Arabidopsis thaliana: one gene and its partners. The protein of the gene in region 2 purifies or fractionates together with the protein of the main gene of each other region. This does not show direct contact. Each region holds a gene or a part of one and is shown on either strand. Other genes may lie near its edges.

What was found.
Region 1: the proteins of GAMMA-ADAPTIN 1 (region 2) and AT4G23460 fractionate together in Arabidopsis thaliana (co-fractionation; one large-scale study listed by BioGRID). This does not show direct contact.
Region 3: the proteins of GAMMA-ADAPTIN 1 (region 2) and AT4G35410 fractionate together in Arabidopsis thaliana (co-fractionation; one large-scale study listed by BioGRID). This does not show direct contact.

What each region holds. Positions count from the first base shown.
Region 1 is NC_003075.7:12,243,171-12,250,796, forward strand, and holds AT4G23460 (Adaptin family protein), read right to left. Parts: upstream 5,849-7,626; 5' UTR 5,729-5,848; coding exon 5,642-5,728; intron 5,199-5,641; coding exon 5,001-5,198; intron 4,966-5,000; exon of another isoform or gene 4,946-4,965; coding exon of another isoform or gene 4,943-4,945; intron 4,854-4,942; coding exon 4,740-4,853; intron 4,609-4,739; coding exon 4,358-4,608; intron 3,986-4,357; coding exon 3,850-3,985; intron 3,718-3,849; coding exon 3,538-3,717; intron 3,450-3,537; coding exon 3,357-3,449; intron 3,265-3,356; coding exon 3,053-3,264; intron 2,979-3,052; coding exon 2,915-2,978; intron 2,813-2,914; coding exon 2,633-2,812; intron 2,530-2,632; coding exon 2,437-2,529; intron 2,331-2,436; coding exon 1,951-2,330; intron 1,811-1,950; coding exon 1,621-1,810; intron 1,534-1,620; coding exon 1,330-1,533; intron 1,029-1,329; coding exon 729-1,028; 3' UTR 501-728; downstream 1-500. Other genes in the region: AT4G23470 (PLAC8 family protein), read left to right, coding at 6,119-6,215, 6,300-6,321, 6,648-6,704, 6,791-6,872, 7,107-7,202, 7,308-7,432, 7,531-7,549. UniProt on the Arabidopsis thaliana protein: Subunit of clathrin-associated adaptor protein complex that plays a role in protein sorting in the late-Golgi/trans-Golgi network (TGN) and/or endosomes.
Region 2 is NC_003070.9:8,439,376-8,447,099, forward strand, and holds the start of GAMMA-ADAPTIN 1 (gamma-adaptin 1), read left to right. Parts: upstream 1-1,703; 5' UTR 1,704-2,003; coding exon 2,004-2,035; intron 2,036-2,078; exon of another isoform or gene 2,079-2,392; coding exon 2,393-2,695; intron 2,696-2,870; coding exon 2,871-3,012; intron 3,013-3,110; coding exon 3,111-3,284; intron 3,285-3,548; coding exon 3,549-3,728; intron 3,729-4,252; coding exon 4,253-4,407; intron 4,408-4,641; coding exon 4,642-4,732; intron 4,733-4,835; coding exon 4,836-4,999; intron 5,000-5,132; coding exon 5,133-5,187; intron 5,188-5,339; coding exon 5,340-5,462; intron 5,463-5,547; coding exon 5,548-5,643; intron 5,644-5,769; coding exon 5,770-5,897; intron 5,898-6,143; coding exon 6,144-6,248; intron 6,249-6,348; coding exon 6,349-6,611; intron 6,612-6,771; coding exon 6,772-7,014; intron 7,015-7,103; coding exon 7,104-7,279; intron 7,280-7,400; coding exon 7,401-7,505; intron 7,506-7,681; coding exon 7,682-7,724. Other genes in the region: AT1G23890 (NHL domain-containing protein), read right to left, coding at 1-37, 123-220, 306-506, 638-802, 1,119-1,289, 1,374-1,428. UniProt on the Arabidopsis thaliana protein: Subunit of clathrin-associated adaptor protein complex 1 that plays a role in protein sorting at the trans-Golgi network and early endosomes (TGN/EE).
Region 3 is NC_003075.7:16,830,520-16,834,502, reverse strand, and holds AT4G35410 (Clathrin adaptor complex small chain family protein), read right to left. Parts: upstream 2,165-3,983; 5' UTR 1,932-2,164; coding exon 1,929-1,931; intron 1,580-1,928; coding exon 1,493-1,579; intron 1,420-1,492; coding exon 1,219-1,419; coding exon of another isoform or gene 1,189-1,218; intron 1,111-1,188; coding exon 1,075-1,110; intron 964-1,074; coding exon 877-963; intron 782-876; coding exon 707-781; 3' UTR 501-706; downstream 1-500. Other genes in the region: DRL1 (dihydroflavonol 4-reductase-like1), read left to right, coding at 1-171, 265-412. UniProt on the Arabidopsis thaliana protein: Subunit of clathrin-associated adaptor protein complex 1 that plays a role in protein sorting at the trans-Golgi network and early endosomes (TGN/EE).

The sequences.
Region 1 (7,626 bases), on a different chromosome or scaffold from region 2:
GTACTTACGGTCTCAACTAAAATGTATAGTTTTGATCAAATTAAAATACAATGGTGAGCTTTCATAAACCAATAATGTCGAAACTTTGGTATTTCATTTTAAGTTACAAAAATATTAGTTGATTGATAGTATAATCCCTTTTATGTGATGGCGTGTAGCGCCCTTACTCAACCCTTATATTCGGTGGCATTACTTCAATCTCACGTTACTATTAGTCCCCCTCAAGCTTTAAAATTTTCAATTAGTTTTGGTTTTGAATTGATTTAATAATCAATCGATAATTAAAAGAAGATTAGTTTCGACGAAGCTATTTTGTAACCGCATGTTACAGGAAATCATGATTGATATTGATATTAGGAAATTGCTACGTCGCATTACGGGCCCAGTATCTATCTATCTACGCCTATCTGTTGTGAAGAAGGTACCAAATTCTCAACTGGTTTACGTGTACGAATCTCTTCGCTCCACTTAGGAAACTTTTTGATTTCATGTCGGTCACTGAACACTAAAAATAGCATTTGCTGATAATAAGTCATTATCACACTAGTTTAATCAAAAACCTTTTGGGGCATATACGCAACGACAACATCAAAAATCAAAGCTCTTACGAGAATAAAAAAACGAGTGGGTTCCAACACAAAAATTAGAAACAAGAAGTCGGCAACAATTCACTTACTACATACACTAAAAGAAGAAATTTGCTTACCTTAGGGCAGTGTAAAATCAAATCAAGCCTTGAAGAGAATTTCGACTGCTTCAAAGAAGAGAGGAGCGATCTCAGGGGTTGGAGTCTTGACTGCACATTTCAGACCAGGTTGACCCACTATGGCCGTTAGTTCGATCAGGAACGGTATGCCTCTTGGTACCTTGGCCGAAAGATAGAGGACGTCTTGGTTCCCATTCTTACGCTTTGCTATGAAGAACATGTTTGATGCGGCGAGTAAATCAAGTGTTGACTCCACGCTCGTGATGGTTATCCCGGGGAATTCTTTCTGCACCTCGTTTGAATCCGGTAACGATTTCCATGTCTAATCAAAAAAACAAATGTTTTATAACTCAGAAGAACTGGTTTTTAAGACTGTGGTATATAGTTATGATCAGAAATCAATATCTTCCTTCAGTTCTTACTGAGTCTAGAAACTTAAATCGATGAAAACCATATCATATGTTAAGATCTACAGCACCCTAACTCCCCCAGGCTTCTTAAGGCACAAAATCTGTCACTAATTACTCGCCCATCTTAATATCATAAGCCCTCTCCACTATTAGTCAATGACTAACATGGTGCTGTATTGTTAATGAACTCTTTATCATATATTAGTCTTTTACCTCGAGGAAGGTTCCGCGCTCCATCCGACCATCTTCTGAGAAAAGAGCGTTAAGTACAATCTTATCCTCGAAGTACCAGACAGGCTGCTGGTTGTTTTTGACGGCAACTTGCAATACCGAGCTGGTGGAGCCAGTAGACATGTTTTGGGACAATACCATTGGCATCATTGTCCTGGCAGATGCTCCGGGTTGCAGAGGCGGAACCTATAATAGTACAAAACCTGGACATCAGTTTCAGGAATCCAGGATATATAATAGGCGTAGATGTAGAGCATATCCAACTACTATTACCTGAAGTGATCCGACAGCTGCAAGGCCGAATGAGTTTTTGTTGAACTGAATCATGAAGCCATCAAGAAGTGACTGCGAGTTGTTCTCGAGGAGCATACTGTAGAATACTTGACCATCTTGTCGGGTTAATTGAGCGCTAATCTGCAGACCTTGACCCTTTGATGCTGGTAGGACAACAGGCAGTGGACGACTGCAAACAATATTAGGTGATTCAATGAGTTTTATAAACAACAAGGTGATCCAAATAGATATGATTGAATAAAACCAGTCCATCGCACACCCCAACTGTGAGAGAGACTTTTAATGTAATTTTCACCATTCAAAACTCACCCTGACGGAGTTGTGGGTTCATCTACAGGGACGATTGCAGCATTATCTGACCCCATTAGGTCACCTAGCAGATCGGGTACAGGAGCTGGGGCAGCAGCTAGCTTTGTGACATAGCCTGTGGTAGCTGACGGGGAAGCTGCACCATCAACCGGATTACCAGATGCCTCGGGATATCCTGTTTCGCTCCCTTCTACATAATCCTCATCCTCCGTTTTCTGAACTGTGGTTTTCAAGCGGGTTACAAAAGCCTCTGGCGGCTTGTGATACACAGAGGACAAGGTGGATATATTTGCAAGTAGCTCATCCAGGAGCGACGGATCAAGTTGGTTTGAGTCATCAGTAATCACAGGCTTTTCAGCTAAAACAACATCCTTGGCCGCCTATAGTCAAAAGAAGAGCACTGATGACTGTAGGTAAAAGAGATGATTGTTGCTCATCCTCCAATGTCCTTGAACTAGTTTAGTAGAATATATTAAGAAAACATACCTCAGGATCAGTCGATAGAAGACGCCAGTAGATGTATGCACGATCCCTGAGATCAGGATTATCTGTTTCAACAGTAGCATTATTCAAGACAACCTGAAAAATTGAAACATGGCAAAAGCCAGGCCTGTCGTCAAATACATGCGCTTTAATCGATTAGGAGAGCAAAAGGTAGTCTTCATAATGGTCATGGCAGAACCTGAATCATTTGTTGTGGGCCTTCAGTTGGCTTCTTCAGAAATAGTTTGACTGTAGCTGTAAGAAGCTGCAGTTGGACTTGTGCTGGTTCCTCAGGGAAATTCTCCAGGAAGCTTTCAAGAAGTTCATCCGCATTGTCGATTCTTTCAGCATATTCACCAATGATCCAAATCATAGATGCCTTTCAAGATGCCAACAAATACAAGTATGAGTTTCACCGATTATATTTGCGATGGAGAAGCTTCCAGCTAATATACACTACCCAAACGACAAATTTTGTTACCTTAGCTTCTGGTTCATCCAATGTGTCTAGACTCTCACAGAGTGTTGCGATTATGGACTCATACCTGCACATTATTTTAAAAGACATAGCCAAGATTAAAAAGAATTACAGCACTTCAGGAGGCCAAAATCAACTTACGTATTTGGATATCTTCTAAAGATATCTTTGATGACTATAATGGCCTCCTGCACAACGTAGTTTACTTTGATCTTGATCAGCTCAAGTAAAACACTGATGCACCGTTCAGCTGCTCTTTCTAGTTTGATGGCACATCGGCCTATAGCACGAACAGCCTTCCGAACAAAATCAACATCTACTTCCGTGGCATATTCTTTGAACTCCAGAAGAACCTACATTGGAATGGTCTAGAAACCATCATGATGTGCACCAAAACAAAATAACTTGGACAAACGGCAGATGATAAAAGTGTAGTAAGGATTACCTGGTCTATGTTTCTGTCAGAAGCAAGTTTTATCATAATCTCTAACTTCTCCATCTTAACATATATCGGATCATTATACTTGCAGAAGAACACCTGCAATAAAACCATGAAGCATTATCAACAAATATAAGAATATATCAATTGCTTATTTCGGAGAGTCTACGAGACAGGATCAAGCTACCTTGATTTCATGGGCAAGAATAGTGGGTCTCTTTTGGACAATAAGGTTAATGTTACGAAGTGCAACATACTGTATCTCAGGTTCTGCAGAAAGCAATGTAACTAGGGGAGGAGCCATCTTCTTGCAAAGATTTCGAATCACATCTGTGCTAGTAATAAGCTCCATCTGCTGAAGGATCATCTGGAAAGCAATGAAATAAAGAGGACTGGCATTAGAAAATTATGTAAGGGAATATAGTTGACACTTCATAAACAATTTTGACTGGCGAACAGGTGACATTCCAGAGAGAAGTATATATTTTGAAAGTGTCACCTTAACAGCTGAAAGCACAACAGCACAGTTGGCATGTTGCAACCTTGGAGTGACTCTCTCAACAATATTTTCAGCTTCACGAGGATCAGATGCCTTATACCTCGACAAAGCATCTAATATAAAAACTTGACCCCATCTGTGAAGAACACAAACAGTATTAAAAATTGAAAGCTATAAATATGTATACAGCAAAAGGAAACAATAGTCGCTTTATGGATCCCTTTCCCCAATGTTCAAAACCATGAGTCCTTTATCTACACAGAAAACCTTCAACTTCAATAACAACAAAGTTCTGTCACAATTTTAGGTTAGATACAGAACAAAATGCATAGATAAACTGATGCTTTAACACAAGAAGCAAGTCCGCAACTCAACAGATTATCCTACTGTGAATATTTAGGCCAGCCTGTCTGTTCTCCGAAAACAAAACCTAATATGATCTGACTAAAATTAGTCAATCATACACAATCTGAGTGAAAGTAAGAGATGGAAATCAGGAACGACTTACTCAGTACATTCATTCAAAGCTGTAAGGAGCTTTGTGAGGATGGTACTATTGATTTCAAATATGGGACTAGTACTATTCTCTTGGATCTCTGCAAGGGCAGCTACAGCATTTGCCACAACCATTGGATTATTGTCTGATATTAAATCCTTTAAGGCTTCCAGGAACCCCCTATCCTCAACTAATTCAGCATTTATGTCAAACAGTTTAGCAACACAAATAGCTGCTGTCTTGCGGACATATGGATCATCATCCTGAAAAATAAAAAAATTGCAACATGCCAGAAAATACAGAAATATGTCATCAGTCAAAGAATAAAAAAATTCTTGAGGGACATAAATATTTGCTACAAGGTGCAGTGACAAGGTAGCATTAAAAACTCAACCTTTAGGCATTTCTGAAGAGGATCACACAAATATTCTGTAATCTTATCAACACGAATACAGCCCATCGTTCGCACAGCCAAAGCCCGGATCAATGGATTTGGGTCTTGTGAATCCTGCCAAATACAAAGCGAGAACTTAATAACGATGAGTTTCTTAAATAATTTTCCATCCACCAAAATCAGAGAAAGACCAAGAAACTTGCCATATGTTAGGTCTTTATGTTTGGGTAGGCTATATAAGCAAAGTAGCTGAAGTGTTACCTTAACAAAAGTATTTACAGCGAGGATAGCAAGATCTGGCTGGCTTTTTGCATAGTTTATCAGATACAAGTAAACAAGCTTCTTCAACTCCAGATTCTCAGTTTGCATGCAATTGACTACATCAGTGAAAAGTGATGAAACATCCTTTCCAACAGTCATTGCCGCAATAACCTTCTTAACAGCATCTTTCCTCTTATCCTAGGAACATAAAGAAAAAAAGAGAATTTAGGAAACTGAAGCAAAAACGCATTCCATCATCTTCAATCAGTACCATATACAACCATTGGACCATCTACTCAAAGAAGAACTGTTTCTATCGCCCAACCACTGCATTGATCCATATTCAAAACTTATGATCCCCCAATCTAAACACATCCCCGCATTAACCATTATTCTGAATTTCATTCCATTTCTACATAGTTTCAAATGAACCATTGAACACATAACATTATAACGTACACCATCATCAATCTTTCAAACTAAAATATCAACAAAATTAACCGATCAATTCGAATCCATAATCATACAGATCTACCAGAAAATGATTATGCATAATTCAACGAACGAGAAAGAGATGAGATTAGAATCGTGAAAATGGCGGATCACAGATCCATATATGAAATTAGACGGAGAAGAAGAACCTTGTACTGTGAATTCAGCTCTTCCTTGAGCTCAGGGATCTCTCCCTTCTTCGTAGTCGAAAAATATTTAGAATCATGACCGCTCATTTTCTCCCTTCTTCAACCTCCACACTTCTTCTCCTCCGAGACGATCAGTGACAAGAGACACAAAGACACGAAATTGCAAAAAGTAATAGGTCGGGGTTAAAATAAAACTAATTACAGTTTAACCCTAGTATTATTGATATTTGACGAAATTGCCTCGTGACTTCGTCTAGTCAACGCCAGTTGCCATCCAGGGGAGGGGAGAAGAAGAATTTGTATTCTCAAGTTGTCGATATGAGAGAGATGAAGTCAGAAACACGTTTGTGAGAGAACAGCTTTTAGATGTGATTGTGGATCAGATTCTCAAAGACTTTTCGCGAAGAGTCTCTGATCCTTAAATCGCTTCTCTCTCGCTTGACCTCATTTCGTCGTCGAAATCAGATCCTTGTGAAAATGCCGAAACAGGATATGGAGAAGATGGAGCTTCGTAAGAACTTCCGTAATGTTTGGCATACCGATCTTACCCACAGTATCCAGAACGATACTCCTTGTAATTTCTCACTCTCTCTTTTTGAAATTTGTGGGTTGGATTGGTTTTGGTTGTTGATTTGATCGATTTCTGTGTTGTTCGCAGATTGTTGCTTCGCGTTGTGGTGGTAAGTTTCGATTGATCTGAGATTTTTCGTTGCTTGTTCTCTCTGTATTTGGAATTTGGATATTTGTAGTAGTCGGATCTTGGTTTATTTGAATTGACCAAGAGTTGACTTCGATTTAAATTCTTAGATCGGCTTGATTTTCATTTCATCAAGAAATGTGTATGGAGTGATCTGAATTTCACAGATAATATGAGTTTCTCTGATCATTGTATGTGATAATTTCAGTGCATTAGGAGTTTGACATTGTATGATTTGTGTATCTCTTTGGGTCTGATATGTTTAGCATACATATGGAAATGTCTTGTTTCTTCTTCTTCTCATTGCAGTGCCCCTTGTGCATCATACTTGCTTCGCAAGCGTGCGCTTTACGATGATATGTCAAGGTATATCACACATTCAGTCACTTTCATATAGCTCCATTCCAATTCCATCTTCTTAGTTTAAGAAGATTGTTTTTTTTGTCTCGCAGGTACGTCTGCTGTGCCGGTTACATGCCTTGTAGTGGTAGGTGTGGAGAAGCCAAATGTCCTCAACTTTGTCTTGCCACTGAGGTAAGAAACTTGATTTTGTTAGCTATTATCTTCAAATGAAGTCTTTTTTTTTTTTGGACAACAAAAATGAAGTCTTTTCTATAGACACAGCTAGTCTAGAAATTTCGATTTCAGCATCTGAATGCTTCCTGTAGCATATGCATACAATCTCAGTCATACCTAGGTGTGACTTGTGAGGCAACCTCGCGAAATTTTAGCAAATTTCTGGTCTTCTAAATAGCAGATCAATCGCAGGTCTTCTGCTGCTTTGCAAACTCTGTGGCCTCAACTCGCTTTCTTCTGCAAGATGAGTTCCAAATTCAAACGACAAAATGTGACAACTGCATCATTGTAAGTATCCTCATTGCCCAGACCATGCCTGTTACTGACACTCACAAGCAATTACAAACACGATAAACAAGTTTCGTAATCTGTGCTGGCTTTTTGGCTGTGTAGGGTTTCATGGTTTGCCTCAGCCAAGTGGCTTGCATATTCTCCATAGTTGCATGTATTGTCGGTATGGATGAGCTTTCAGAAGCTTCTCAGATACTCACATGTTGCTCTGACATGGTGTACTGCACGTAAGAATCCCCCATCCAAAGTGCCATTCTTATAAGTTTCGATCAAAACCCAATTTTAACCTATTGTCCTGATATATCGTACTTTGCTTGGTCTGCAGGGTTTGCGCATGTATGCAGGTACGAGCAGTGATGATATCATATCAACCCATTCCAATCTCTCCTTACTTAAATCCTACACTTACGGTAATATCTAT
Region 2 (7,724 bases):
TCCATGTCATGATGAACGAGAGGTGGTTCACTTCTTCCTGTCTATAACGATTTGGTTTAAGAGATTTGATATGTTGATTATACACTAGTATGTAATATGAGGATAGATTAAAAAAAACTTACATGACGGATGACGTAAGGGCGAACAGCAAATCCAATGGCTACCCCGAGAATGCAGGAAAGGACAATCCCTATTGACCAAAGAGAGTATGTCCCCAAATCTGAAACAGTGAAAGAAGAATCGTTGAAGTTTCCAAAGGCATGGTTAGTCAAATCCACAAAAGATTACTTATAGAAAAGACATACTAGAATGAGAGTTTTCGAGGCAATCCTCCTCCTTAAGATTTATCTGGCGAATCATTTCATTTCCATGATCAGAAACAAGCAAACAACATCTTTGAGGAACAAAAGTTATCTCGAAATCGCTAGAGAAAGTAGCATTCTGTGCAGGTCCATCTCTGTGTCCAAATGCCTTTGAGATCCCTCCAGCAATGGTGGTTACAGAACCTACAAAGTCCAGTAAATAAAACATGCATAATCAAAATAAACTAAGTGGCTCTTTCAACAAACTAAGATTAGACAACAACAACAACTAGCATTTATACAAAAGGAATACAAGAAATGGATTAAACAAACACCTGAAGAGCTGATCTTCCGTATAGCTTTATTACTCTTATCAGCAACATAAACATTCCCTTTAGCATCCACAGCAAAACCACGGGGTTTGCTGAACCGGCTGTTACCAGCTTTACCATCTACATGACCCGAACTCCCATCCCCAGCAAACCGGTTTATCACACTATCTGCACAACCACACACACATACTCAAAGTGAGCTCAAACTTCAATTGAAAGAAAGATAAACAAAATTTTCACTTATAGTAAAGTTTAGAACTTTTATTTGCAGGTTGATCGTTTCACACACATACACACACATATTAGTATTGTGGTCCAATTTGAGATTACGGAGAAAGAAAAAATGAAGGTCAAGACTTGCAATCAAAATCAACAAGCTCTAAACATTTACTTATGCATCCATGAATTTACAACTCATATACAAACACAATTATAATGATCCGATTAATAGATGAGACAAAAGAGTGGTTTTGTGGGTGTTTACCAACGGACAAAGGAAAGGAAGTAGTGTAAAATGTACTGCCGGAAGAATCAAGGACGATCAGATTAGAAGATCCTGGTAAAGCATGAATCGTGTATGGATTCAGACCAGACTTATGGCCATCGACCACCGTTGTGACTTCGTACCCTTCTTCTAAAACTATCTTACCACTCACTGTAACAAAATCATGAGGAAAATTAAAAATTCGAATTTTGGGTTGGGAAATTCAACTGAATTAACAGATTTTTGAAAATATACCCAGATTGAAAACGACGAACAAGAAGAGAGACACGGACGAAAATCCCCAAGCCATGTCAAAATCGAGAGGAGAAAGCGACTGTTCTGTGTAACTTGTGTTGTGTTACTTATTTTTGCTGCTTAGCATCTTTAAAGGTTTTAAAAAGATACTAGGGCCTGAGCGATACTATGATGTGTTCAAGTGTAGGGGAGAATTTGTGTAACAACCAATGAAAGAGCGCGTATCATCGACCCTCTCAAATTTGACTAATAAAAACGGCCCAAGTAGGGCCCATTTATGTGTTTAACTATAAAGAAACGGCCCAGTCTATGTTTTTGTTTTGAGAGGATTGCTGGTCGAAACGTTACCGTTTAGGTGGAAATGGAAGTCATGTTTATACAACGCATTTAATTTGGCAATTATGGTTTACGAAGACTGAGAAGAAAAAAACGAGCATCGTCCATCGAGATCCAAATCCTCAGTTTCATTTTCATCTCTCTCTCTCGTATTGATCAGCTACTCGAAACTCCGGTAACGGATTTTCACAATCCCGGCGGCGAAACTCTTCTTCCCGGCTAAGTTTTCATTTTCTTCAGATTCCTCGTAAAGTTGCCGGTGGACCAAGGTCCAACTCTTGAACACCCCAAATCATGAATCCCTTTTCTTCTGGTACTCGTTTAAGGTAAATTGATTCTCTTCTTTCCTTTTTATCGTTTCTGTTTCAGGTTTCTTAGTCGTTGATCAGCTTACAAATGAAATTTGAATATAACATGATGTAATTGAGCTCGTTTTCATTTGAGGATTGAATTTTGTTGATTGGCCTGTTTCGAAGATGAATTTGGTATTGGTGTTTCTGATTCCATTTAGAATTTTGATTTTAGTCTAAGAACATGATCACACTAAGGATTTTTGGTAATCCTTTTGCTTAATTTAATTGAATATTGGATTGGTCATGTTGCTGTTGGGGTTTAATAGTGGAATCAGATCGGATTATTGTATATGGTTCTGAAGTTATAGTGGACATATGAGTATGATTCAGGGACATGATCCGTGCCATAAGAGCATGCAAAACAGCTGCGGAGGAGCGAGCTGTTGTAAGAAAGGAGTGTGCCGATATTCGAGCATTGATTAATGAAGATGACCCGCATGATCGGCACCGGAACCTTGCGAAACTCATGTTTATACACATGCTGGGTTATCCCACACACTTTGGGCAGATGGAGTGCTTGAAGCTAATTGCATCTCCTGGATTTCCAGAGAAGAGGATTGGATATCTAGGGCTAATGTTGCTTCTTGATGAGAGACAAGAAGTGTTGATGCTTGTCACAAATTCGTTAAAACAGTATCCTTACTAATTTCTAGTATTAAATCTTGATACCTTGGCCTTTGAATGGATTCTTCTTCTATGTTAAAAAATACTAGAGAACACTTGATTTTTGATTGCATTGCTGTTATGGGAATTAAGGAGAAAAATATTTAAATAGATTTGTTCCTGTTTAACCTTAAGTCACGTGCAGAGATCTTAATCACTCGAACCAGTATGTTGTAGGACTTGCTCTCTGTGCTTTAGGGAATATTTGTTCAGCAGAAATGGCCCGTGATCTTGCGCCAGAAGTAGAAAGATTAATCCAGTTTCGTGACCCTAATATCCGAAAGAAGGTGAAGTGTTTTCTAATTCATATACAGGGTCTCCTGGAGTTTAGTCGCTTTTTTTTTTTCCTTCATTGCCTTTACCATTTATGTTGTATTATATGCAGGCGGCGCTTTGCTCTACTAGAATAATAAGGAAAGTTCCAGATCTAGCAGAAAACTTCGTAAATGCTGCTGCTTCCTTGCTTAAAGAAAAGCATCATGGGGTTCTTATAACAGGAGTTCAACTTTGTTATGAATTATGCACGATTAATGATGAAGCCCTAGAGTACTTCAGAACGGTAAGTCTATAAATATTATACAGAACACTCTACTTATGCATACAGGAGCATCGACGTAATTTAATTGAATATGCGTACATATGATACTATATTACCTGTATGATGCTTTTGTGTACTATTTTTCTCTTGCAATAAAGTTTGATATCTGTGGTATTCACTTATAAATAGATTACTCTGCTGAAATGAGGCAGACAATCAGGTTGTTATATTGTTTTATCAGACCGTCAGTTTTGACAAACCCTTGTCTTTGTTTTGTCTCTGCAGAAATGCACAGAGGGACTGATAAAAACTTTGAGGGATATTACTAATAGCGCATATCAGCCTGAGTATGATGTTGCAGGGATCACAGACCCTTTTCTCCACATACGGTTGCTCAGGCTCTTGCGTGTTTTAGGCCAGGGTGATGCTGATGCTAGTGATTTGATGACAGATATACTTGCACAGGTTAGTCATAGTTTAGCAAGTGATTCTGGATATGGTTGACCATCTTCACATTTGCGATGTAATTCCTTTGTTAAACATCAACGGTTTATGGTTTTTGTTCCAGTTACCTTACATATATTTTTTCGGAAAAATGTTGTAAGATAGCTATGCTCTCTCATGTGCTGGAACTGATTCTGTTAAATATAGCATAATGGAGAAAGAATTTCATTTCGTTGATAGGGTTCATGGGCTATTATTCTCTTTGGTAGATAGAAGACTTATTGGTTACTGAGTTTTTGCCGTACTTGAATTCTCCCTCTTTTGATACCGGTCTTTGTTGTCATAGTAAGTGTTGATTTGTGGACGGACATATAAATCTGTAGGCTGCGCCAATCCTTTTCTATCTCACCATGATGAATGCATCCTGCGTCTGTTACATGCTTTGTTTTGGAAATCTTTTGAGTTCAAAGTCAGGGATCTACTGTCGGATACTTTGTTATCCTGGTTCTTTGATATTTATTCTCGTTGGTTTCATGCTATTGTAGGTGGCAACAAAAACTGAATCAAACAAAAACGCAGGGAATGCGGTACTCTATGAGTGTGTTGAAACAATCATGGCCATTGAAGACACCAATAGCTTGCGTGTGCTTGCTATCAATATCTTGGGAAGATTCTTATCTAACCGCGACAATAACATCAGGTTCAACCCCCTACACCTCAATTTTATTTGATAATAGTATGGTATTATATATGTTTGTAATGGAACTAGCTTACTTGTATTTTTCTTCTGTCTATCATCTTTCTTTGGATGTGCTTAACTCTATGAAGCACACAATGCTCTTCTGACCAACCAGCGTTGCCTTTTCTAATCTTGATTTCGTTTCTCTCAAAAACGCTGCATTCCCTTATGAAATTCATACTTTCGTTCTCTCAGATATGTTGCATTAAACATGCTGATGAAAGCTATCACTTTCGATGATCAAGCAGTGCAAAGGCACAGAGTTACAATTTTGGAATGTGTGAAGGTATTAGTATTACCAGGAAAATATTTTATACAATGTTAACTGCTAAGTATATCTTAGAGAAATAAAAAATGCTAATTTGGTTTCTGCTTCCATAACAATATAGGACCCAGATGCTTCTATCCGGAAAAGAGCTCTTGAGCTTGTCACTCTTTTGGTGAATGAAAACAATGTCACACAACTGACAAAGGAGCTAATTGATTATTTGGAAATCAGCGACGAAGATTTTAAGGAAGATCTTAGTGCAAAAATTTGTTTTATCGTTGAAAAGTAAGTATTCTATTTAAGAAATAGAATGACTACTTACTCTGAGAAAGTTGGGGGTCAGGATGATTGGAAAGTTACTGTGAATGTCTAGTTGATTGAAGTTTTTGTTGACTTTTTAAATTTTTTGATAATGTAGGTTTTCTCCAGAAAAACTATGGTACATTGATCAGATGCTCAAGGTTCTGTGTGAGGTATGGATTCAAACGCGAGAATATGCTCTGTAACGTGTTACCAGTTAATTGCACTCTTTGAAATCGTTTGAGAGTTTATATCTGCTTAAGCTAATTTCAAATGCATTGTTTGTATCTGTCATAACCTATTGTCATCTATTCCATGTTAGTAGGCTGGAAAGTTTGTGAAAGATGATGTGTGGCATGCACTTATTGTTGTCATAAGCAATGCATCAGAGCTTCATGGATATACAGTTAGGGCCTTGTACAAATCAGTCTTGACTTATTCGGAACAGGTAGCTATTTTCTAATGTTAGATTGTGCTCAGTCCTCAATCAGTTGTAACCCTTTCTAATATGGTTTCGTTGAGATGATAACCAGGAGACCCTTGTCCGAGTGGCGGTATGGTGCATTGGGGAATATGGTGATCTGTTGGTTAACAATGTGGGGATGCTTGGTATTGAAGATCCAATAACGGTGAGCATCACAATGGCAATCTTAATTCATTATTTGCTCCATGATAAATATGCAGATGCTTTTGCTTCTTGGGATTTCATTTTTGCTTTGAAAAATATGCAACGAGTATGTGACTGCCTTGAGCAGGTAACGGAATCTGATGCAGTGGACGTTATCGAGGATGCCATTACTCGCCATAACTCAGATTCGACTACAAAAGCAATGGCATTGGTTGCTCTACTGAAGTTGTCATCCCGCTTTCCTTCTATTTCAGAGTATGTCTGACCTCGTTGTGCTATCTGTTTTTATCTCAACTCGTTCATCTGATATCTGCACTTATCCCTTTTCAACTCTACACAAGATGCATATGCGCACTAGTATATGAATAATAAATTTTGGTCTGTCTACAAGAAACTGTAGCGCGTTGCCTTCTGAAAAAAGATTAGAAATATATTATACATGTACATCCTGTCCTCAACTCTCTATTGATAATTAAAAAGTTTTCTAAAATTCAATGACAGGAGAATTAAAGACATAATTGTGAAGCAGAAAGGAAGCCTTCTCCTTGAAATGCAGCAGAGAGCTATTGAATACAATTCTATAGTTGACAGGCATAAAAATATCAGGTGGAATCCCTTGTGCCTCTCTTCCTCATCTATCTTCTAGTGTAAGTTTTTCATATTCTCTCTCCCTCAAAGCTCATGATAGAGGTATGTGTGCATACAGGTCTTCTCTGGTTGACAGAATGCCGGTACTGGATGAGGCTACTTTCAATGTGAGGAGGGCCGGCTCTTTTCCTGCATCAGTTTCAACCATGGCCAAGCCTTCAGTTAGCCTTCAAAATGGTGTTGAGAAACTTCCTGTCGCTCCTCTTGTGGACTTGCTAGACCTAGATTCTGACGATATCATGGCTGCACCTAGTCCATCTGGTACAGATTTCCTTCAGGATCTTCTCGGTGTAGACTTAGGTTCATCGTCAGCACAATATGGTTAGTTCTTTGGCGGTTCTACAGCTCTTGCGTTCATATTATGGCGTGCTCATCTGCTATGTGTCTCTGAATGAACAAGTTTTTAAAAAAATCATTTTCCTCATTGCCTTGCAAAAGGATAACTCATGTTTGGTCTTCCATTTTTTATCCAATGATTCAGGTGCAACCCAGGCTCCAAAAGCTGGCACAGATCTGTTGCTGGATATTCTATCAATTGGAACACCTTCTCCTGCACAAAACAGCACATCATCTATTGGTTTATTATCAATAGCTGACGTTAACAATAATCCCTCAATTGCGCTAGACACACTTTCTTCACCAGCTCCACCTCACGTAGCAACAACTTCGTCCACCGGTATGTTTGATTTGCTAGATGGTCTTTCTCCAAGCCCATCGAAGGAAGGTAGGAAAAAGTCTTAACCTGAAAAAGATCTGTATAATCATTGAAACTCTTTTACAAAGGTCAATAACAAGTTTTCCTCCTTATTGCAGCCACCAATGGTCCAGCTTATGCACCTATTGTTGCATACGAGAGCAGCTCCTTGAAGATTGAGTTCACCTTCTCAAAGACACCAGGGAATCTGCAAACGACAAATGTCCAGGCTACTTTTACTAATTTATCTCCCAATACTTTCACAGATTTTATATTCCAGGCTGCTGTTCCAAAGGTAATTACATCTATCTTCTTTTTTTGCTTTTTTCCCCTTTATTCATCTTTCCCAATTGATAAAGCAGTAAATAGATTTCAATTTTTTCTTTAACCTTCTCTTTCTTTTGTGTAACTTCCAGTTCCTCCAGCTGCACTTGGATCCAGCTAGCAGTAACACACTCCTGGCAAGCGGTAGTGGTGCCATCACGCAGAATCTAAGAGTCACTAACAGCCAGCAGGGGAAGGTATGGCACATTCTCTGTTCGTCTTTCTATCTAACTTTATGTCTTCAACATTCCGTGCTCAGCATTGATGAATAGCACTTGATGATCCACAACATAATCTATGCTCAAATAAAGATAGGCTGAGCCTGTGGATTCAGTGACTTAACATAACACTAAGGGTTTAATGTTTATTGCAGAAATCTCTTGTGATGCGCATGAGGATTGGGTACAAACTGAACG
Region 3 (3,983 bases), on a different chromosome or scaffold from region 2:
GCATGGACAAATGGGGTATGTTCATATCGATGACGTTGCACGAACCCACATAGTCGTTTTCGAACACGAAGCAGCTCAAGGCAGATACATTTGTAGCTCTAACGTTATCAGTCTAGAGGAACTCGTTTCATTCCTATCTGCTCGTTACCCATCACTCCCTATCCCCAAGAGGTTTGACACTGACCCTTTAAACTAAACCATCTCTCAAACCTTGTAAAATTTTAAAATCATAGATCATGATGATACTCTGTTTGAAAATTTCAGGTTTGAGAAACTAAATAGGTTGCATTACGACTTTGACACCTCGAAGATACAGAGTCTCGGGCTCAAGTTCAAGTCCCTTGAAGAGATGTTCGATGACTGCATTGCCTCATTAGTCGAGCAAGGCTATTTATCTACTGTTCTTCCATAACTCTTGGACTAGAGAATATGTGCAAATAAGATTGGTCTGAAATAGTAGTCATGTGGATTCACAATGAAAGAATGGGATTGGAAAACATGAAATCAAAGATTACAAACGATATAATCTTTACTTGTTTATGAACCAAATCATAACATATTTCTTCTCTCCAAGTTACGCTTTAAGACGAAAATCCCTCCGCAAGAAAAATCAAATGGATAAAGATTTCTCAAAACAATTACTGTAGCCAGAGACAGGGAACATACTTTAACTGCATAAGAATGCATAGATGATGAATAAGACTACTTATCGATTAGTAGCCTGAGCGATTATATTACTTATCGAACTGGCCTCCTCTTTTGCAACCTCCACCAGTTGATCCTTTGACAACATAACAGACAGAGACTGTCATTTCTCAAGAAAAAACTACTACACTAATATTTTCATGTCGATGACTTAAACATACAACTCAGTACCTGAGCGGATATAATCCTGGCTACTGTTTTCTTGCTTGACTCTTGAAGCTCCCCAGCAATCAAGAGCTCATCCAATATGTAATATGCCTAAGAAAGCAACAAGAAATCCAGAAACTGTCAGCAAGATATAAAGATGCAGAGGATAGAGAATCAAGTGACGAATGGCAGAGTCCTTGAGTGTTTGCAGCATGCTATTACCTTGTGGAAGTTAAAAATCAAATCGAGTTCACACACCTGAAGGTCATCAGATAAAACAATTCCTTATCATAATTTAGAGGTTCCGTTAAGGTAAGAGATAGTAAAGGTGGAATCTCAGCAGGTGCTGGTTTTTTTGGTACTCACACTTCCAAAATAGCGATCGAGAATCTCAACATAGTGATGAATGATCTCAAGGACCTCTAACTCGTTATCCTCCTGATCAATGCACATGCAGAAGTAGAGACTTGCATATCTTTTGTAAACAACTTTGTATCCTCTCCATTCAACAAAATTGCAGAGCTTTGGACCTCGATTCAGAATCACTCCACTGAGTTCACGTATAACCTATATACATAGCATGTAAGATGAGAGATGTATGCTAAAGCATAACAAGGTGTGAATGAAGCTCAATACATACCTTAGATCTTTCCTTCTGTGCATAAGGAGAATACCATTTGGTGAGCCTTACCTTTCCTTGCCGGCTAACTAGAAGCACAAAATGTATCTGAAAACACACAAATCAAAAACACACCATTGGTTTCTTATTAGGATCATCAACTCACCAGCTTAAGAAAGAGTCCAACAAACAAAGGTTTCAAATTTGAAGCCATTGAACTGAACTAGGAGGATCGAAACTACGAAAAATCAAACCCAGAAGCTAGCATTATCAAACTAAAGTCACCAAATTTTCTATCTGCAAAGAATAATTTGAAGAGAAATATCTGAAACCACCGATCAAGAGCAGATCCAAGTATCAAACTAATGAAGAAGAAGCATAAGAACGAATCGGAGATGCGAAATTCAAATCCAGGGCAGCATTCGTAAACACAGAATCGAAGATCGAGCATTGTTACCATGATTTCGTAACTCAAGACGGGACAAATCTGTAGTAGCGAAATCCAGAAACTGATAATCGATGATCCTCAACAAGAAAAAAATTCTCTTTGCTCAAACTGTCAAACATGTCGAGTGCCAGGGGTATAATTGTCATTTACATAATTAAAAACGGATTGCATTCCGGGTCGGATCCATGCAAACGGATTGCATTCTCAGCTAATTTTGTTCCATTATTGCAATTATCTTCTTAATCTTATCGAATAGACCAGGGCATTACACATTAAACGTAGCAATTATGTCAAAAGATTTTGAATGAAAATAATTCTTCAATTAATCTTATAGAATTAGTTTCTTAGGTATCAAATTTTTTAATTGTTCTTATACTTGGTGCTGGGTCAAACAACAGAAAAGTATAAGCAATTTTTTTATAACTAAGAATGAAAATATAAAATGCAAATGTAAAGGTAAGTCCATAATCAAAATAGACATAAACAACAGTTTTGATAAGACCCAACAGAAATAACTCCTGACTAACGTGAGCAGCGACTAATGGACACAATTGTGAAGTTATGAACATACTTAATCTCTCACATAAGCTTGTTTTTATTTAACCTTGGAGGGAAGGCATATTCTCTTGCATGCAGGCTTTATTTTTATTTTCTTTGATTTTTGTTTTTCTCAAGTTTCAATGTGTTTTGAAGTTGACATCATCATAGATATTAGGGTTTTAGTTGTTCTCCCAAAATATTCTTTCCCTTCTCTGCGAGACAGTGGAAGTTCAGTTTTATCACAAATTAGAACATGTTTATATGACAATAATCGGAAGATTTAGTTAGAGCCTTAATGTGTGAACATCAATTTACGAATATAATTAAAGTCCATTTTCTCCGTATTACTCACCTAATAATTAGGGGGGAAATGTTATTTAATACCTGAACTTACAAAAAATGGCCAAATTAACCGTGAATTCGTGAAATGGCCGTTTTATCTCTCAACAAAAAGTTGACTTCTATTTTAACCTTTAAGTTTGCGTTGACTCGGTTTAATAAACCACCGTTAAAAATCCTTCTAACAGCGTAATTAACAGCCGTTACAGAACATCCGTTAAGGTGATACGATGACGTTTTGTGCTATCAACAGACTTCAAAGTCGACGAAACCTCTGAAAAATCTCCAAATCAAAACCCAAATCCTAAAAATCATTCTCTCTCAAATTCGATCTGCTTCTCCTTCCGGCGTTGTTTTAGCTGCATCTTGTGCTCCCTCTTCTCCGCCACAAGACTCAGATACCACATTCGTTTCACCCCCAACTTCTTCTCCAATTTCATCTCTTTCTCCTCGCGGTGGTGCTTCGACTCCATCTCCCACCAAATTCTCTGATTCGTGAAGCATTGGAGATCCAATCCTCATAACGACGCCATTCTTTCTAACTAATGGCATTTCAGAAAACGAATTGAAGCAATTAGGGTTTCGATTTTGATTTTGGGGGCAGGATTAGGTTTCGATTTGGGTTTAGGGTAATTGATTTTGTTTTGGGAATTTCTATTCTCGATTTTGATTTCTCTTTAGCACAAAACGTCATCGTATCACCTTAACGGATGTTCTGTAACGGCTGTTAATTACGCTGTTAGAAGAATTTTTAACGGTGGTTTATTAGCCCGAGTCAACGCAAACTTAAAAGTTAAAATAGAAGTCAACTTTTTGTTGAGAGATAAAACGGCCATTTCACGAGTTCACGGTTAATTTGGCCATTTTTTGTAAGTTTAGGTATTAAATAACATTTTTCCCTAATAATAACATTTTTCACGATTAATATGGTCGATTTGACATTTTTCTGTAAGTTTAGATATTAAATCACAAATTAATACTATTTTTTTTTTATGAAACTTACCAATTCTATTCATAAAAACAAACAGAAAAAGGAAATTTAAGCGTTCGTTTTCTTTTTTCACACACCAAGTTTTAAGAGAAACAAAAAATAAATAAATAAAACCTAATATTCGCATTTCGCAACCGCTATAGCTAGTAGCCTAGTAGTTTGAGGTCAAACACGCAAACGCAACAAAAGGTGTC